2 linked regions of the Caenorhabditis elegans genome follow. The protein of the gene in region 1 purifies or fractionates together with the protein of each later gene. This does not show direct contact. Each region holds a gene or a part of one and is shown on either strand. Other genes may lie near its edges.

Region 1 (10,359 bases):
CCATAAATAGTACCTTGTGAATCTTCAGTAATGCTACTTCAATTAGTTGTCGGCGTCGGCTTATTTTAGACATTTATAATAGTCCAAGGAGTACAGAATTTGTAAGATTTGTATTCTTTGTTTGCCTGGAAAGACATGTGTTCAGTTCAATCACCCGTAGCTAATAGTATAGTTGCACTTTGTGATCAGTCTACGTGACATCAAAACCAGATGATTTCAAGTGTGAACATTATCTTATCGCATTTTGATAACCATTGGCCGACCGTCGGTTAATGAGCTTTTCACTCATTTTTTTTTTGATTTTTGAAAAATCAAAGTTTTTTCCTTCTATAGTTTAAACTAAACCATGATCATTGATTCAAGTCGTTCATTATTTTTCTTTTTTCTATCCACTTCATTTTTCACAAATTTTTCGTGTCACTGCTTTCTTATCAATTATCACCTGCGAATTGGAGGAGAAGAGACATTTTTCCCACCTTCTGAACATTTTTACATTTTCTTGCGCATTCTCTTCCTCTTTTCTATAGGTTTTGTTCAGGTTTTCTTGCAAAAAAAGTATTTTTTGTTCTCTTTTTAATTACTCGATATCAAAACTCAACTTTTCTGCACAATACAAAACTTGTTTTCTTGTTTTATCGTCAAACGAAAAAATTCTTTCTGCATGGGTTTATGATCCATAACTTTTTTTCTTGCCCTTGTACATGCAAGCTCTCTTTTGTTTTCTCATTTGGTTGGACAGACACATTATGCTTAACAAATCATTACCCAGAATTTGTTATCAGAATTTTCATTTTGTTCAAGGAACCTACTGATAAGTGTATGTTTGTGTTGAAAATTTGTTCATATTTTGATCAAATTCTGGTCACTATGAGGCTAAGGTTGAAAAATTGGAAAATATTTGTTACGGTTTCAAGATTTTTTGAAATATATTGTCTAATTTATTATGGTGTTAGAGTATGACTTAGCGCGTTTTCATTGCTCTCATTAAAATATTTTGTCGAAAATTAAAGGTTCATCGTTTTGTAGGCATACAGGTAGGCATTGCTGTGCCTACACAGTTAATAAATTTGATCGTTTGGTTTCAAATACTTGAACTTTTCCCCATTTTAGAAAAAAATCAACTTCCAAATTGTTTCCTATACCAAATCTCTGTATTTACTCTAACATCACTTTTCTCTGTTTTTTTTTTTGCAAACATAATCTCTGTTTGTAAGGTTTATTTAGATTATCCTTTTGCAATGATAGTTCAGATTTAGTTCAGTTTTATGAAATATACACTTGCGAACTCGTTGTGTCACGAGGTGTCTAAAATAGTGATTTTTATCCAATTGCTCAAGAAAAAAGAGAAAATCTATTGATCATCGTCAAAAAGAATAACTACAGTGTAGTTCTACTAGACTGTTTGTACCGAGAAATTTTAATTTTGCAATTTCAGTGTTATCCATTTTTCAATGACAATAATTCTAGGTACGCATTCTTCACAGGCATAAAAATGCCTACCTACATGCCTACAAGTGATGTCTAATTCTTTGGAGGCAGGTAGGTAAGCAAAAGTATGTATCTTGCAGAATAATCTGGATATTTTAGAGCAGCCTTAGATGTTATATTTTTGAATTTTGAACTTCTCAAATCAACGTTTTCCAACATATTTTGATTTTCACAAAGCACAAACTTCTCCAAACTCAATTTTTACACTGTTTTAAATTTGAGAAAACCTCTCTAAGATCACTATTCTAAGATCCTTTTTGACAGATTTGTGAGAAGTCACTGATACTCTCATCCACCATGTGCCCTTTTAACTTTGTGTGTGTTCTGCTCTTTTTGTCGGCGGTCTTGTTTCCCACATAGACCCCACCACACAGACACTTTGAACAGAAAAATATTTTTGCAATAAAAATCCGTGTCCGTCCTCCACGCCTCATTCACTCTTTTCATCCGAAATGCAAAAAAAGAGAGGAACCCGGGGCAGTGGTTTTGCAAACGTTTGAGCAGCTGTCTGATGCTCGTTTCGTTGTGTGCATCCTCTTAATTCTTTCTTTCTCTATTTCTCGCGTTTTCTCCATATTTCGTCTCATTTTCAGTTTCAGTTTCAATTCATCAAAACTTGTCAAGAAAAACGAGAGAGGATATGTAGGATGGAGAAATTGAGAATATAATGTATAATTAATATACATTCCACCCTTCTCTTCGCCCCCATTTTTCCAGTTTTTCATTTTCTTCTTCCTCTTTTATTTTTCATAGATTTTTAAAGAAAATATATTTGTGTTATTTTAGATTTTAGAATTTATTTATGACGAAGTTGTATTTGTTGTTTTCATTGCAATTGTCAAAAAAATGTACCCTTTTGAAGCTTGAGCTAAACAAAACTGGATATGCCTTTGGGTAGGCAGGCACAATTTTAGGCATTAAATAATTGTCAAAAATGGGCCTGCAAGGTGCCAGCTGCTCTAACTTTTGTCACAGTGGAGTTGATAACAATTTATCAACATCGAAAATGTAGAAAAGAATTATGGTCAATATTTTGTCTTTTAAAACAATTTTGCAAATCTTATTAGTTTTTTTGAGTTATGCTCTTTTGAAGTTTTGTGACATTTTTATTTTTTTATCTCTCAACACCAAATTGTAACTTTCTTTTAATCTTAATTTTTCTCATTTTCCGAAGTTTATTTTTTAATTCCTCAATGTTTGCCTGTGTGCTCATGGATTTCTTTAAAACATTTTCCCGTCACTTGCTGTCACCTCCTTGTAGCCAACAGTTGACAGACGTCTCAAACCTCAGACAGAGAAGTGACAAGTAATCCTGAGAAGCTCAAAGTAGACCTAGATTTTACAAAGCACATGGATCACTAGGTGTCTTCAGTTTTTGTGCCTGTTATTAGATGTTTCGTCAAGATAAATTTTTTGGAGGTTTAGTCTCATAGCTTGTTCCAAACGTTTTAATCAAATTTTGCCAAAGCGTTGCAGTTTCATTTAATTCTACCATGAGAGTTGTAGTTTTTTACTTAACTGCCAGTGGAATTTCTGGTTTCGTAGAAACAGAATTGGAAGTTTGAACTATTGGAAATAAAAATCAAACGTATATGATGAAAATGGGCTTTACACCAAAATTGGGGTTTTGTAAGATATACCAAGAATTTTCTTTTTTTTTAATTTTTTTCGAATTGAAGTGAAATTTACAAATTTCTGAAATCTATAGATGCGCAACATTTTTGGAAAACGCAAAACTTTGCTTGGAAGCAATAATTGCAACAAATTTGAATATACGGTAACTAGAGACTCCGTTGGAGGCGTCAAGGGTCACCTCTTCTTCTTCACTCGCCCTACCAGATCTGTTTCTTTGCGGAAATAAAATATATTTGCACCATTTTCAAAGCGAAAATTGACATCTTTATATGCCAACATTCACATTCGGATCAACACGATCGAAATCTTTTTCAAGCAAAGATCTCGTCCAACCTTATGCTGATAATTCAAACCCCCTTACATAATAATCCAACAGCTTAGTTTTTAGTTTTTGAGTTAAAGAGCTCAACATCTCTCAAAATAATCTGATTTTTTTTGCGAGCCAAAATCGTAGTCACCTCGTCTATTTTGACCTCAGTTTGCGTTTTCTCCCCGCCAATTTTGTGAAGACGTCAGAAGTGTCGTTTGAATGTCAGATTTCGTGCATCTTTTCTGGAATATTATATAAAAAACATAAATTTTAAAGAGCTTCCCGGATTTTTTTCCATCTATTTCTATGAAATCCCAGATTTCTGCTCATCTCTTTCAATTCCGTCATAATTTTTATTTTTTGCAATTCCTACAATAAAAATTAGAAAAAAAAAGTCATTTTCTCTTACACCGGCTTTCCTCCTACATCGTTTCCTTCCCTAATCCTTTCTCGTGTCTGACACTCCCTTATCCGCCTCATTTTCATCTCAAAATTGAAAAGATTAGCCATTTGACTATATAGAGATGATTAGTCATTTTTATGTTATATGTACACAACTTTTCATCTAAAGACTTTTTCCATGAAATTTCATGGTTTTGATGGCTAGGAAGGGAAGCAGACAGGCCTACTTTTTGCCTGCCTGCGTTCGTTTCTACCTATCTCATATTTTTAATTCTCTGTATGTGCAATGTAATTCACGAATTCAATAGACTTGTAAAGTGTTTCATTAACAAAAAAGTTCAGAAATTTTTTGGTAGACGGTAGGCGTAGGCCACCTGGGTGGCAGTTATCCGGTGCCTACGTGGAATGCTAATTTTCAATGACGTGACTTTCCATAAGTGTTCTCTCAATATTTATCTTTCAAAAAAAGGAGAATATTTGCAACATAGAAATGAGTGTGCTCTTTCCTTTTGGTTTTTGATCATTCTCTTTTTTTTGGGATGAACAACTAGAGGGGCAAATTTCGCAGAAAAAACTTTCTCATGTCCTTGAACAAGTTCTATGCAAAAAAGATTCTATTAGAATTCGCTCGTCTTCTATCTGAACCTAACTTTGTATTGAGGCCAGCGGCCAAGTTGAAAGTTCAAAAAATTTCTAAAAATCCGGAATCGTCAAACTACCATTTGTATCAAAATTACGCGAATGTCGATAAAATCAGAATTCAAACAAAATGCTGAGACTTAAAGTTTATTGCCGCATAAAAATCCGAATTAAATTCCCATTATTTTTTTCCTCCAACCGTATTCTTTTGATCTCTTCGATGTATTCCTGATGTGGTTGCACTCTATATCCTTTCTTAAATTGTTCAACTCTATTTTTTGTGGCATTAATGTTTAATAATTTTTATTCACAATCAGAAAAATATATTAATTTTCAATAATTTAAAATATTTTTAAACCTCCGTCAAATTCATTTTCTTATTTTCCCTGTTCTCCGTAACCTTACGTGACATATTCCAGATTCACAAAAATTCCACGTGTCATATATACGAGTGGAACATTATTGGAAAACAAAAAGTGAAATGAGTTGATGAATGTGGCCGACAAGTGTCGAAGCGCTCCGGTTCTACCACACATTTGCATTCTCACCGGGACGACGGCGACGGCTCTTCGGATTATCGATTGTTTTTGTGATTGCCGCGTTATGTGTGACGTCATGCGATGCAGATGCAGTTCCAGCACCGTCTCCAGAAGCGGAACCATCACTCGGTGCGGGAGCAAATCCGTATTTGTTGGACTCGTTGGTGAAAAGGGTTAGTTGGTCATATTATTACAAGATAGTCATAAACTTCAATTATTTTTAGCTTCCCAAAAAAGGCGACAAAAAGGAAATCCTGATCAGTTACCTGGCCGCTGTGCCCACACTAATGGGAGAAATTGATCAATACCTTCTCAATTTATCAGCTTCAAACTCTGCACAAAATTCGTCTAAAGATCGAGAAAGCTTCTCAAAAAAGCTCAATCAAATCGTGCACTGCCTGACAACTGATGCTTACGTTTCTGTGGTTTCGGGAGCATTAGTGGCGGCTATTGTAGAGATTAATCAGGATAAAGATCTCATTCCTGCTTATCAGTTGAAATATGTCTTTGGAAATACTTGTGGAAACGATTCTCATAGTGAGTACAGTGAAATTGAGGATTTGAAGTGATTAGAACTCTGGGAAGTTAAATTGGAACTTCTTGTTCAAAAAATACGGTGTTTCCTCTGTTAACATTGCATCACACTGTTAAACTTTGAAAGTTTATATCAGTATTCGTTTGTTCTATTCAAAAATTTTCAATTGACGACACCCCGAACGTGGCTTTTTAAACGCACCGCCCTTTCTTTGAAATGAACTAAAAATGAAACATCTATCAGAAGATCAGGAAGGAGAAACTAAATAAAAACAAAATAAAAAATAAGCCACGTTTATGTGTCTGTTTTTAAATTTTGATAATACTAATAGAGGATATACGGTATCAGTTGAAATGACGCATCTCCAGTTAAAAAAATACTTCTGCATATATCCAACAACTTCTTATTTCAGGTACTCGCTTGTTCATGGAGCACTGGCAAGCCGGAGCTCGCGTCTTCATTGGTCCTGAAAAGAACTGCAAGACTGAAGCTGCGATGGCTGCTTCACAGAACCTTCCAATCATCAGTTATCGATGCAATGATCAGGATATTTCTCGTGATGAGTGAGTTTTTGGTTTTTGATTTTGATTTTTCGAAACAAAGATTCCAGTTCTATAAATTATTTTCAGCTACCACTATCGAACATTTGCACGTACTGTACCACCAGCTGGAGAGATCTTCAAAGCCTTCATGTCCTTGATGAAACAATACAACTGGCGGAAATTTTCGGTTGTCTATGATGTTAAGAAGGGTCAAGTGAAGAACGAGCTTTTTGAAACATTGAAGAGAATGGTGGAGACTGAAAACAAATTTGAAGAGCACAAGTTTGAAATTATGAATGTTTCAAAACTCGAGTTCTCGAAAATGGATATCAGTAGTCAACAGGACATTCAAAGCATTGAAAATGCCATAAAATCGACGATGCAGACAACGAGAAGTTTGTTTTATATTTAGTTTTCGAAGCTAAACAGTTATATTTCAGTATACCTGACATTCGACAACGTCCGACTCTTCCGTACAATGTTATCAATTATGGGAGAAATGGGACTAACTCAACAGGATTATATGCTCATTTATGTTGATACCAACTACGACTGGCTTAACGTCTACCATTCAATGAATAATCATTTTTTGAGAAGTAAGCATGGACTTTAATTCTTTTAAATTTCAAGCAACATTGTTTCAGATACTATGACATACTTACATCATTCCTGGGATGCTAACAATTCATCAGATAGAAAAATGCTCGATTATGCAAGAAGTGCTCTTTCGATTATTCCAACTCCAGTCAAATTGAATAGTCAAAGGTTTTACAATTTTTGGAAGAAAGCCGGTGACTATATGCATCATTTTGGAGTCCAGAAAGCTGATAATTTGAAGGTTTGATTATATGAGAGTTAAGATGTATCATTAATTTCTTTCAGGGAAATAGAATTGCGTGTTACCTCTACGATGCAGTTTACTTGTATGCGAAAGCCATTCACGAGTTAGTCGAAGAATATGGTAATGATGATTCTTACGATCCGACGGCAGATGGGAAGGCTATTATCGATAGAATTGTTAATAAGAAATATCGAAGTGAGTACAAAATGTTATGAAAATCGTCTCAATTTTAAACCAGATTAAAAACATTTATACATCTTTTTTCTTCACAAAAGTCAATCAAAACAATTAATTTTGATCGGTTCCTGGTTTCATTGTAGTATGAAACTCGACGCCGTCTCCGATATGATAGGTTTTGATAAACTTGTCCAAGCCAGGGATTAAGGTCATCACTGGTGGCTCGCCAACTTCCGATAGAGCAAATTTAAAAAGTAGTAGCACAGAAATTAAGTAAAAGAGGAAGGTTTTACTGCCAACCATTTTCGGTTTGGAATGCTGAATTATCATCTAACCAGCCGTATTTATAGCTGTTATCAAATAAAAATACAAGTGACTAACAAATGCAAACATAGATTTTTTGTTTTAAAAACAATAACATAACTGATACATTTTTTCAGGCATCCAAGGATTTGACATGAGAATTGACGAACGAGGAAACTCGAAAGGAAACTTCTCGCTTCTCAGTTGGCAAAAAGTGGCACCAATCATGAACAAGTCCGATCCATCGTATTATCCATTGGACCATGCTCTTGATTTGACTGCTATTTTCGTTGAAGCTCCTGATAAGGATAGACTACCAAATCTGCAATTCAAGTCCTCACGGATTCAATGGTTGAAAGGAGAACCACCACCGGATGAACCTGTTTGTGGTTTCCATGGCGAAAATTGTCGGAAGAAGGGAATCTTCAGTTATCTCACAGTGGTCGTTATGATTCTCATTGCAGTTTTCAGTCTTGTGCTCACTGGATTTACTTTGAAGTGAGTTTTTAAAACTGAAAGAAATGATTTAACATTAAAATTTCAGTTACATCCGAAGTCGCCGCTTCGAGAAAGAGTTGTCCATGATCTGGAAGATTGATCCATATGAAGTTCGCCGTGTTGTCGGAGGAGTGAACAATGAATCAACAGCATCTCTAATGCAATCTGATGTCATGCAGTTTGCAAAAACAAAAACACCTTGGTGGAGTAAAGCGCCGGTTCAAGGAACAGGAATGCGGGGACTTGCTTCATACAAGGGAACACTCGTTGGGCTGAAAGATTTGATGTATGGCCGGAAGCCGAAAGATCTGACACGGGAAGCTAAGAAAGAGTTGCGAGCAATGAGACAATTAGCTCATCCAAATGTCAATAACTTCCTTGGAATTATTGTATGCCAATATTCAGTTACGGTTGTCAGAGAATACTGCTCTAAAGGATCACTTCACGATATTTTGAGAAACGAAAATCTAAAGCTGGATCACATGTATGTTGCCTCATTCGTAGATGATCTTGTGAAAGGAATGGTGTATATTCATGACTCTGAACTGAAAATGCATGGAAATCTTAAATCCACCAACTGCCTCATCACTTCCCGCTGGACACTTCAAATCGCTGATTTTGGATTACGGGAGCTCCGAGAAGGAATCATGTACGATAGTAGTTATAACATCTGGGAGAACTTCTTATGGACAGCACCAGAAGCAATGACTATCAACGGGTCACTGGCAATTTCAAATCCGCCGACTCCAAAAGCTGATGCCTACTCATTCGGTATTATATTCCATGAGATTTTTACTCGAGAAGGACCTTATAAAATCTATGTTCAACGTGGAGATGTCAATGGAGAGGCTGCTCCTAAGAAGGATAGTGTCGAGTGTCGAGCATTGGTTGAAAAAACAGTCCGACGAGTATACAGTGATCCATATTTCCGTCCGGATACTTCTGATCTTGAGGTTCAAAATTATGTGAAAGAAGTTATGGCGGCATGTTGGCATCATGATCCATATCAAAGACCTGAATTCAAAACAATCAAGAATAAATTGAAACCACTTTTCCATCAAATCTATAAACAGAATATAATGGATCATATGGTATTAATGATGGAGAAATATCAAACACAATTAGAAGATCTTGTTGACGAAAGAACTATTGAATTGAAAGATGAACAACGGAGAAGTCAACATTTATTGCAAAGAATGCTTCCGAGCTCAGTTGCTGAGCAACTACTTGCTGGACAAGACGTGATTCCTGAAGCATTTCCACCGGTTACTATTTATTTTTCGGATATTGTCGGGTTTACAACGATCTCTGGAGAATCGACTCCAATGGAAGTTGTCACGTTCCTCAACAAGCTTTATACACTTTTCGATAGCATAATTCGACGATACGATGTATACAAAGTGGAGACAATTGGTGATGCCTATATGGTTGTATCAGGAGTCCCACAGTACAAGACAATGGAATACCATGCGGAACAAATTGCAATGATGGCGATTCACATACTCTCTGCTGTCAGATCATTCTCGATTCCTCATCGATCTTGTGAGCCGCTGATGATTCGAATCGGTATGCATACGGGTCCATGTGTAGCTGGTGTAGTTGGAAAAACAATGCCAAGATATACTTTGTTTGGTGATACAGTCAATACAGCATCAAGAATGGAAAGTAATGGAGAAGCATTGAGAATTCATTGCTCGTCCTCAACTCAGAAGGTTTTAACATCCATTGATCAAGGATTCTTGTTAGAAGAAAGAGGCTCATTGGCTATTAAGGTAACGTTGAAAATATTATTTTTTAAACTATGATTGTTATTTCAGGGAAAAGGACAAATGACAACATACTGGTTGAATGGAAGAGCTGGTTACGAGTTCACGGAAACGATCGAAGATAAGATGGTTGTACCTGACATTTTCCCACGTCCAAATCTCAAGAATCGAGGATCCAGTTGGGGTAAGTAGGAAATTTCAAATATACTATGTTAAAATTAGTTAGTGAAGTTCTATGTTAGTGTTATCCGTATCTGCATGCTTAACCCCTTGTTGTCCTAATTGTCCCCCTTACCATTCTCTGTTCAGCAAATCGACTAACTGCTCTTGTCCCTGCATGTCCATTTCAACGTCCTTCTGATCATATGAACCTTCGCTTCGAACCATCCAACCTCTCATCTTCCGACTCGACTAGTGAAGAATACTTGAACAATTGAAAACGATTGGTGAAATCGAACTCTTCTTTATTATTTTCACGTGCTTGATTCTTTGTGAAATGTATGCATGTTTTTGAATTCGAATGAATAGGATGACAACGATGTTTTTTTTTTGAAATATTAAATTTTACATAGCATCTGAAGATATGTTAATACTGGATAGTTTTAGCTTTTATATTCAAGAAAATAAGTTCTTTATTTTAGGAGTCAATCGCGAGTCTTCTTTGTCGCTTGCAACTGAAAAAAG
Region 2 (10,606 bases), on another chromosome or scaffold:
TAAAAAATCATATGCTTTTTTCAATTAAATCAAACCTGCTGTTATGTACCACTACAGCAACTTGAAAGTACCTGATAGTATCCTTACACTATCGGAGAACCCCAAAAACCACCCTCATTATATTTTACTAGAACCGGCAAACCGGATTTAGAGCCTGCTGAATCTTCAACTCTTTCCCATTCAAATTCAGATTTTCAAGCCAAAATTTAACCGTCCCAAGTTTTAGGAAATCAAAATGTAATTCAAATTGATTCCAAAGCTCACGTTTTATTAACTTCCGCTTCCCTGCTTCAACCTAAATGGTCAACTTGTCTAGTGGTCATCATGTAATACAAAAGAAGTTGTAATTTGTAAGAAAGTATCGCTTTTCACAGAAAGAGAATAGATCCGTGAAAATCCAGTCAAAAGAAGCCGCGAAGCGAAAAGTAACACGGCAATTATGTTTTGAAAAGACACTCAGACAATTCATTTTGGTTACCAGCATTTGAGTTATTTTGATGTTTTGACAATTCTCCAAATTCTATAAAATCATGAAATCAATGCCTTGGATTCATTTTTTATTCACTATAATTGTTATTTTATTTATTTTATCAATTGGCATTTTCTTCTACTTTTATTCGGAAATTCGAGATATCCAGAGAATTGCTGATGATGCCATTAAAGATTTTGAGGTAATTGAGGTTTTTAAAAAAGGAAGAAACATTTTTTTTTAATTTCAGATTTACGAAAAAATGTCCTGGAATGATCTACAAGTCGTACTGATTTCATTGAAATCCAGAGAAAAACGGTATTTTTTAATTAAATTTAATTTATTACGATACTAGCATATCGTGAGGTTAATAAGATTTTTCAGAGGAGAGTAAGAAATTATAAATTTTATAGTAAAAAGTAATTTTGTGGAACCAAAGCAATCTGAGACTCACATCGCCCGACCGCCTCCCGTCGCCTCCCAATCGCTTCTTGTGAATAATGCCTCAAAAACCATTGAAATATCATAAGAAAAATAAAATGGTCTTTTAAGATCTCTCAAGAATTTTTTACCTGTTCATATTAATGCAAATATCGTTGATACACCAGTGATACACCAATTTAATCGGTATATTTAGCTAAATATGTTCTTTAGTTTAATCGCCAAAATGTCGCTTTGTTAAACACAGAACAAACTTTAATCATATTTTCTGCAGAAAAATTCGCAAGAAATCTCGTCGTCAAAGCGAAAAAGATTATCTTGTTGCATTCCCATCATCACCTTCAATAAAACCACCAGAATGCCCATCAGGCCCTCCAGGTCGACCTGGAAAACCTGGATTAGATGGTGAACCGGGATTCGACGGGCTTCCGGGAAGAGACTATAATTATATGGAATTAATGACGGAGCACTGTATTTTGTGTCCTGCTGGACCACCAGGAGATCCAGGTATGGAAGGATCTGATGGTATTCCAGGACCGCCGGGCCTCATTGGCCCCCCAGGCCCGAATGGAGAATCTGGAGTAATTGGATCAGTTGGGGCTGCAGGAAGAGAAGGAACTCCTGGGAAACGAGGAATAGGTGGTGAAGAAGGAGAACCTGGTCTTATTGTAATGAAAATGATGAATACAAGAGGCCCAAAAGGTTCTGTAGGACCGCGAGGTCTTACTGGGCAACCTGGAATGCCTGGAAGAACAGTCAATGGTTGGCTTTCCTCCATGCTCACTTTTCTATTTAGTTCCCAATTTCAGCACCACCTGGATCGCCAGGTATCAGAGGACGTCCTGGTATGCCTGGTGCAAGTGGAAGGTCAGGAATCATTGGAAAGGTAGCTCAATATTTTTGAAGTTTTAATATATTGAGTCACGTTTCAGAGAGGAATCCACGGAGAGCCTGGACTCGACGCATCATATTGTCCCTGCCCACGCCGATCGTATCAAATGCAGAAAATGGTGGATCCAGCTCAAGAAAAGAAGTTTTCTTACGATTATTATGAATTTGAAGTCGCGAAATCGAGGAGAAATAGAAAATCGATTTGGAACAGAAGGAGAATCAAATATATTTAGTTTTTTATTATAACTTCATGAAGATTGTTATATTTTCTTTTTATCACTAACGCGGTATACTGGACCTATTTCATCTGACCCCCACAAATTTTGTGAGATTGAAAACGTAAAGTCATACTCCTGCTCGTGATGGATCCAATTTACTATCAATCCTGTTTGCCAGTCCTAATTAAATATAATTATAGAACATTTTCTTGGGTGGTTTTTGGGGTTCTCCGATAGTACTTATAAGGATACTTTCAGGTTGCTGTAGTGGTACATAACAGCTGGTTTGCTTTAATTGAAAAAAGCATCTGAATATGATTTTTTATTTTAATATAAATATTTTGAAGATAAACGTGAGCTTTTCCAATGTCCAATGAATACGTATTTCACGTAAAGGTCGATCAAACATCGAGATAAAAGTTGATGTGAAGATGAGAAAATTGAAATAAAATCAGTTCTCACTTGAACATTAACATTCGACTAACCATCATCTTGCAAACTTGCACCAAATCAATCGACATGCAATCAATCAACATCTTGTTCGCCATGCTCCTCATCTTGGCTCCAATTGTCAATGGAGACGATACTGCCGTTGCTGTGTGAGTTGTTCTCTATAATTACTCTTTTTTACTTTTCTATTCCAGGACTGCAACTAAAGTCACTGAAGATGCAACTGTGGCTCTCATCGAAACAACAGCCAAAGCCGTTGCAGAAACAGAACCAGCTACAGAACCAGTTCAAACCACCGAAGCTGTTGAAGAAACTACAGAAGCTGTTGTTGTAGAAGCCACTCAAGAGACTAAAGATGCTGAAACCAATGCTCCAGTTGATACTCCAGCTGCCAATAACATCGAAGCTACAACTGAAGGGGCTTCTCGTCCATCGCTTTCATCGACTGTTGCACCAAATGTAACTTCTGTTGATGACTTGCTCGGAGAAACTTCAACCAATGCCACAAAAGCTGCTTACAACACTGGAACCTTCTTTGTTGTCCCAATGGTCGTTCTCGCTTTGATTCAATGATTTGATTGATCTCTGTTGCTAACTTATACTAACTGAATAAAATATTATGTGATAACCAAGTTCTTCAAAAGTCTTTATTACATTAATCTATTGCAGTTAATAAAATAATATGTGATTATCGTAATATGTCTTTGTTTCTGAACTCAATCAAAGCTGTTCGGCTAAATTCTTATTCCATTCAGATTAGATTAAATTTAAGATGTGCTAACCATTAACCTCGCAGGATTTCAATTCAGGACAGGAAAGCAAGAAGCAGGGTGGTAGTCATGAAGTCGTGCCTTCATTTCAGAAATTAGGCATCTCTAAAGTTGATGAAGTTGGTTGAGAATTTGCGGGAAAGAGAAATAGTTCCAAACATGAGAAAATTACATATTACACAATTTTGTCGGTTCATCATCTTCCTCCAAAACCGAATAATCGTCTTTATCTGATTCGAAAAAAAAAACTTTATCAACCACTGGAAAACCTTTATTGTTGTCCCAATAGTGGCTTTCGCTTTGATTCAATGATTTGATCGATTTGTATTGCTCTCATACTAACTCAATAAAATATTATGTGATAACCAAGTTCTTCAAAATTTTTTATTCCATTAATCAAACAAGATTTCATGAAAAATCGCAATCTCTATCTTCCTGTCAACCGCAGTATACCTGTTAATAAATCTAATCATTATTATTATCATCTGATTCCTCATTTCTCTTTTTCTCTGTCTTTTTCATTCGTTCCTCAACCTTCTGCCAGCTTATGATGTACTATGTGTCAGTTGTTCCTCTTTCTTCTCCTTCCCTCATTTCCTCCCTCGAACCTCTTTGATGGGCGTGGCTTGAGCTTCTTTCTGTGTCTGAGACCAACATACTTCTTGCCTCTTTTACTGCCCACCAAAAACTTTCTCCATTTCAGTACAGTCTAGGCCAAATGTGCCGATGGCTTTTCTGGCACTGATATCACTTATCACATCTCCCCTAACTTTCGATCTACAAATCAACGGACCATCGGTTAATCCTGCACCAATTATATTGAGCACACCGTCCAAAAACTTATCATTATCATTTCACAATGGACACATCTACGCGGATTCGATTCCTGTATCAGCTATTTCTGAAAATGAGACTACATCATTCTCATTGAAATGTATTTCACATATTTCTTTACATTTTCAAAGTCCACATGCAAACTCTCTGGTTTATTCTCCAACATTGTGTTCAGCTCCAAATATCGGTAAGTTACCGAAAGAATTAACGAACGAATTACTTCCTGACTGTAAAAACAACCTTGAAATTTTTTGAAACATTATATCTAATTGTGAAATCAGTAGAAAAATCTGACTCATTTCGCTTTTTTTTACAAAATGATTGCTTCAAACTCTCCGATTTGCGTTTGAAAAAAGACTTTTGAATTACTGCTCATGTTTGCTGGTTGCCAGTTTCTCGATGTCGATGATGACAACAAAACGAGTTTCTGCAACTTGAAAAATTCTTCCTAAAATTAGAGATTTCAATCTTCCCTCCCCGATATTAAGTGAAAACCAATCTCATAAATCTGGAAAGACGCTTGCTGCAAGTGGCTAGAATAGTTTTTGTGCTAGAATCATAGCGGCTGCCTCAAAGCACACCAACAAAAAGAGCACTTTAGTCTTCTTTTCGGCTCCTTTTGGAAGCTGGAGCCGGCGCCGGAAATGAGCAAAAGAGTACTCTTTGGAGTATTCTGGAGCATCTCGGTATGTTGTTGTTGCTGTTCTCTATGTTTGTTCCGTAATAAACAATTGATGAAGATGAATGAATGAGAAAAGAAGAAGGAGATGGAGAGAGAGAGAGAGGAAGAAGCTTAAAAAGGAAAGAGAGTCATTGAAAATTCATCAGCAGATCATTCCGATGAACATGACATTTCAAATAGACCTAATAGAAATTTGTTAGCTTTTTTTGAAAATTGCTGAAAAGGACATACAAAGATTGTAAAACTTATTTTTTGAGTATGATTTCAGCATATTTTCAATTATTGCGCAAAATTGTTAAATTGAACTTTTCGAGTATTTGCACAACAGTTCCGTTTTTTTCTTTACCCTGAATTCTTCACAAAAATTGGGAGTTGGGGTTTGCAGCTAATTTTTTTAACTACCGAGTCAAAAAGTATAATAAGAAAACAATTTCTAAGAACTCGCTTCGAAGCCAAATCCCGCCATTTCTTCTTTTCCCGGTCAATAAAACTGTATTTTTTATCTCAAAATGTAGGCAGTAGATACCTCAAGATTCCCGGAAAAGTTTAACCCATTTCTTCAAAAAATCATAGTTGTTGGACTAATTAGCAAGTGTCAACACATGTGTCCTTCCATCATCCCTGTTTATACTTGCACTTGTTCACCACCAACCGACACATTTTGTAAATTATATGTTTTCTCTTCTTCTTCTTCATTTTTATGAGCCATGTGTTAGAAGAGGATGCTTGAGTTGAATAGAAAAATAAAAAATATTAAAATACAAAGTTGAATTCAAACAAATTGTAGGGCTCACAATAAACGAAACAGCGCTCAAAGGATGTATGTTTGATATCACTCAATCCAGCTCAATTTTGACTCAACGGATATGCGGGTGAGTTAAAACATTAAAAAAAGGAATTAGATCTGGATTTACCGTTTGAGCGTTTCTGTGTCAAAAGAAACGTTAACTATGTTCAATCTAGACTTTCATGAAGGTACAGGCATATTGTAGGCATTCAAGGCATGTGTATCCAATGGCGACCTTATCCATACTATCATGTGAAGAAAATTTGAAATTCACTGCAAGTAGGCGTAGGCTGCATTTAAGGGTTTCCTTGTAGAAAATATACAAACTGACACTTCTATTAATTTCTCAGGTTCCAATTTAGTTCAAAAAATCGGTGTACTTTTCACAAGACAAACAAACAGACAAAAATGTACGTGAAGGCAACATGTGTCTACTTTTAGTGACAACTCGACTGAAAATGTGTAGATCGTTTTCAGGCAGTATACATCTGCCTTATAGGTGTATATATCTTGAAGACTTTGACAATCAGACGTAACAAACATGTGTCCCTATCATTGAAACCATGAATAATGGGCGGTCTCGTTTTCACTCAATCATCAATCTGTCGTCCAGTCGGCAACTCTTTTTCCATTCCATTCTTCCAACATCTTGAAGCAATTTCTCTGCGACGAATCAAATCTCGCACTATTTTACCACATTATTATTATCCATATGTCTGCGTGTCCACATCATTTGGCACTGTTTCACTGGTTTAAAGTCAGTGATGACAGTGGAGTATCAAAAATTGAGAATCACGAAATAGTGCTGAATTGAGAGAGATTTAGGCAAAGAATGGGATACGCTGGATAGAGATGGAGACCACCAGAATTTGATACTTTGTGGCCGATAAAATTGGCACATTTGAGAGGGATTTATGGGGTGGCGAGGCAGTGGCAAAGAGTTGTTTGTTAGTAAAAAAGTCAGTGGTCACTGAAAAATAACCTGTGACTATAGGTAATGGGGGATATTGAATAAAAATAACAAATATGATAAAGTGAGGGACTTAAATGTTTTTCAGTTCATAGAAATCCGAAATAACTTTAATAACATCTATTTTAAAGAATGTTTAGGGAATTTTCCTAACTTACCCGTAAAGGCAAAATTTAGCAAGCCCATTTTTGAATGCATATCCTAAAGGTTCTGAAACTCAAACACATGATTTTACACTAATACGTTCAAAAATATATCGTAAAAAATGAGTTCGGGAGATGTCTATCAATATATATTTCGTTGACTGTGTTAAAATATTCAACACATTACCAACATGATATTAAAATTATTTGCAACATTTTCAACATGCGTTAAAAATTCTGCCTTCCAATTTCCAGAATCGACTCAAAAAATGCGGCAAAAAATCCAGAAAAAGGACCGATTTATGTGGCGGAGCCAGTAGAGGTAAGATTAATCTTTTACTCTGATGGAGAAGTATGGGACCGATTAATATACAATCTTTAAAATAGAGAAAACCAGGTATTGAAACAAACAATGAGCACAAACTGTAACACTCAAATCTGCTTTGAAAAACAAAATTTCCATGTTAAAATTGACCACACTTTTTGCTCACTCCGCGGATTAACACATGTTTTTTAGAACAAAAATTGTAGTACCTCATGGCTGCCTCTTAATAATTTTGGCAAAAGTCAAGGAGACAGGCTGAACTATTGAAGTATTTCGGTCAAAAAGTAATTTTCAGTTGAATGAAGGTGGATCCATGCCTCTGCAATGGAAAAATGTGTACTTCATGCCAAGCAGTCAAGATGTTAATTTTTCACATACTGATATATTCTTTACCGTTTGTTATACAAATTCCGATAACTGCAATTCAAAGAATACAATTTTAGATCGTTGAGAGTGCGAAACATGGAGAGGTTCGAATAGATGATGTTGTAACAAGTTCTTTTACGTATGCTCAGCTTTTGGCAAGAAGAGTGATTTACAAACATGATGGAACTGAAACTAGAGAGGATCGACTCTCTTTTCAGGTAAGTCCCAGCGCATTAAAATCCAAACGTTATAAAATATGAAATACCCAAAATGGTCAGAATTTCAGAAATTCCAAAATTGAAACGTTTTTCTTGTTTTACTTTTTTTGTAGAATTTCTGAATTTCTGAATATTTTTGAATATTTTAAAACAAACATCCACAAGGTCTCACAAGGTTTGAACGCATTGTTTTTTCTTTTAAAAACCTCTCCAATTAAAAAAAAACAGTGCTTTCAGATTGAATTTGCTGTTAAACACAAACAACTTATACCAGCTGAATCCAAAACTTACTCATTGAGAATAAAAATTAATGGAGTCAATGACCCGCCGGAACTTGTAAAACGATCAAAAGACGAGAAACTATTGATTGCTTCACGTGGAAGTCGAGTGATAACAAACGAGATTTTAATATTAACTGATGCAGATGATCGACCAGAAAAAGTTCGAGTACAAGTTGTAGAATCAAGCGGAGTTCATATAGAAGTTCATGGACAAAAAGTGAATGAGTTTAGTCACAAACAATTGATTGAAGAATTGGTTTCATTGGTTGATGAAGGAACAGAGTTGGGAAGTGGAAGAATACGGTAAAATCGGTGTTCAGTTAATTATGAGAACACAACTTTCAGATTAATTGCGAGAGATCGAGAGGCTAGAAGTGGAGTTGTTATACTTGAAACACAAAGTACCAAAGTTGACGTGAAGTTGGTCCATAACACAGGACTAAAATTACTTCATCATTCCAGTGCACTACTTACAAATAAGTGAGGTTTTATAAGCTTTCAAAAATCGGAAATAAAATAAAAATTATTATTTTTTTCGCAAAATAACAAACTTGAAAAAAGTATCAAGAATTCCAGGCAAAACTTTTTCAACAGTTCTGCCAACTTTTTTGAAAATATCGCAAGTTCCTGGCAACTATCAGCTTTTGAGAAGCGTTGTTCTGAACGTTTGGCAATAAGTTGCCGTTAAATGCCGAGATGTTACGAGCCTTGAAAACAACCTTGTTTTCAGAAATCTATCTTTTGATGCTTCGATTCAAGACATGATTGTCGCCTATCGAATTGTTGATATGCCAGACACGGGTGTTGTTGAATGTCTTCAAGAGAATGATGACAAGTTCAGCATGTGCACAACGTTCACTCAAGCACAAGTGAACGAGGAGCAAGTCCGATTCAGGCACACAAGTCAAAGTTCTTCGCCGAGCGATATGTTCAGTTTTCAGGTAAATTTCGGACAACTTTTCAATTAAGAAATGGTCCTCGCTAAAACTTTTGGCAACATTCATAGCGCCCCCAATTAAAGCTATTAATTTGCAGGTTGAAGCTGGAGAATTCGCTTCAATGGTTCATGTCTTCCGAATTGACTTTATTCCAATGAATATTAAAGTTTTCACTCGTGAACCGTTTGTTCTGAATGGAACAGAAACTATGTCAATTAGCAGACAAAATCTTTTCTCTTGGACTTTTCCGAAAAGTTTTTCTGCTCACAATTTGATATACCATATTGATGAGCCACCAAAACTGGGAACACTTTCAAGAAAACTCGCCGTTGGAAAACAGAGAAGAATAGGAGTTTCTTCAAATTTCACACAACAAGATATTGATGAAGGTGCAATTAGCTACAAGTTACACTATCAACAATATTCAATTGTCAATGATTTTTTTGTTTTTCGAGTTGTATCGCCGGCTGTATCATCTCCACTTTTAAGATTTGATGTGAGTTTTAAGACCTTATTTTGACAATTTTGAGATTATTTGGAGACTTTTTATTTACTGAAAAATATTCTAGATTGTGTATGTTCCAAAAGAGTCATCAATCCGTCTTGTAAACAAAACAATTGTTGTAAAAGAAGAAGAAATTGCATCGGTAACTTTATTTGTAGAATTGTTTAAAATCTTTAAAAGTATAATTTCAGATAACACCCGATTTTCTGTCTCTTTCCACACCAGACGACTCAAACTTTATATTTCGTGTTGTTTCTCCAACACTGCATGGTCAAATCAGACTTCAAATTGGGGAAGTTTTGAAAAAAGATTCAAATTTTACAAGTGACGATATTGCAAAGCATCGATTGACATATTCTCATTCTGGAGATGAAACTCGTACTGATGAATGTAGATTATTAGCGATTTCAAGGCAAAATCCAATGAGAAAAGTTCCATTAACTCTCAGTTTTTCTATTATTTTGCTCAATGACAATGCACCGAAATTGGCTCAAAATGTGACAGTTTATGTGAGTTTTTTTCTTTACCTGGGAGAAATTCGCCAAGCTTTTACCTGGGAGAAATTCGTCAACTTAAGTTTATTGAAATATTGAAATTTTTCAAAATAGTCCAAAAAATGTATTCAAAAAATCATGTTTTTCAAAAAGTAATAATACAAGTAATGGCTGAAAATGCACAAAAACGTAATTGATAAAAGTTTATACTGAAAACTGTTAAAGTAGTCTGAAATTACAGATGGTGGAGCGCGGAGAACGAGTGCTTCACCCGTTCTTACTTCCATGGGTTGATGAAGATGTAGATGCTTCTGCTTTAATGTTTGACTTCACACAAAACAAGGATGCCGCAATTTTGTCTACAGTATCCCCGTATCTACCACTTACTTCATTCACTCAGCACGATATTGACGAAGGAAAAGTTATGATTAGACATTTAGGACACCATGGGGAATTTTATATTGGGTGAGGATTTAATAGACTCCATTGAAACTTGATAACCTATTATTAGAAACTTCAACAAAAAAAAACGACAAATGTAACCATATTCTTTGTTACAGGTACACGGTTAGTGATGGAGTTCACCGAGTTGAAGGAAAGATGCATGTACTAGCTGCAAAACCCGATGTATGGATTGAAAAGGCTGAAATTGTTTTGATATGCGGAGCACATTTTCCACAGACAATTCGTAATGCTTTAGAAGAGAATACATATATACTTTAACTACTAAATTTCAGGTCTCTCTTCGAATAATTTAACAGTATTGACAAATTTGGATGTTCGACTGGAAGACATTATATATTCATGTAGTTCAAATTTTTCTC

The links.
Region 2: the proteins of gcy-12 (region 1) and C48E7.6 fractionate together in Caenorhabditis elegans (co-fractionation; one large-scale study listed by BioGRID). This does not show direct contact.

The regions. Positions count from the first base shown.
Region 1 is NC_003280.10:5,307,153-5,317,511, forward strand, and holds the start of gcy-12 (Receptor-type guanylate cyclase gcy-12), read left to right. Parts: upstream 1-4,893; 5' UTR 4,894-4,967; coding exon 4,968-5,186; intron 5,187-5,237; coding exon 5,238-5,550; intron 5,551-5,960; coding exon 5,961-6,111; intron 6,112-6,177; coding exon 6,178-6,485; intron 6,486-6,530; coding exon 6,531-6,686; intron 6,687-6,734; coding exon 6,735-6,928; intron 6,929-6,972; coding exon 6,973-7,126; intron 7,127-7,548; coding exon 7,549-7,909; intron 7,910-7,955; coding exon 7,956-9,681; intron 9,682-9,726; coding exon 9,727-9,859; intron 9,860-9,984; exon of another isoform or gene 9,985-10,316; coding exon 10,317-10,359.
Region 2 is NC_003279.8:6,232,247-6,242,852, forward strand, and holds the start of C48E7.6 (Chondroitin sulfate proteoglycan 4), read left to right. Parts: upstream 1-3,887; 5' UTR 3,888-3,965; coding exon 3,966-4,260; intron 4,261-5,542; coding exon 5,543-5,627; intron 5,628-6,327; exon of another isoform or gene 6,328-6,464; intron 6,465-6,910; coding exon 6,911-6,977; intron 6,978-7,275; coding exon 7,276-7,374; intron 7,375-7,423; coding exon 7,424-7,564; intron 7,565-7,801; coding exon 7,802-8,148; intron 8,149-8,190; coding exon 8,191-8,325; intron 8,326-8,575; coding exon 8,576-8,786; intron 8,787-8,880; coding exon 8,881-9,279; intron 9,280-9,352; coding exon 9,353-9,430; intron 9,431-9,479; coding exon 9,480-9,797; intron 9,798-10,023; coding exon 10,024-10,247; intron 10,248-10,342; coding exon 10,343-10,470; intron 10,471-10,519; coding exon 10,520-10,606. Other genes in the region: col-56 (Col_cuticle_N domain-containing protein), read left to right, coding at 531-671, 720-787, 1,185-1,672, 1,720-1,796, 1,843-2,034; C48E7.7 (MS Related Protein), read left to right, coding at 2,539-2,618, 2,664-3,042.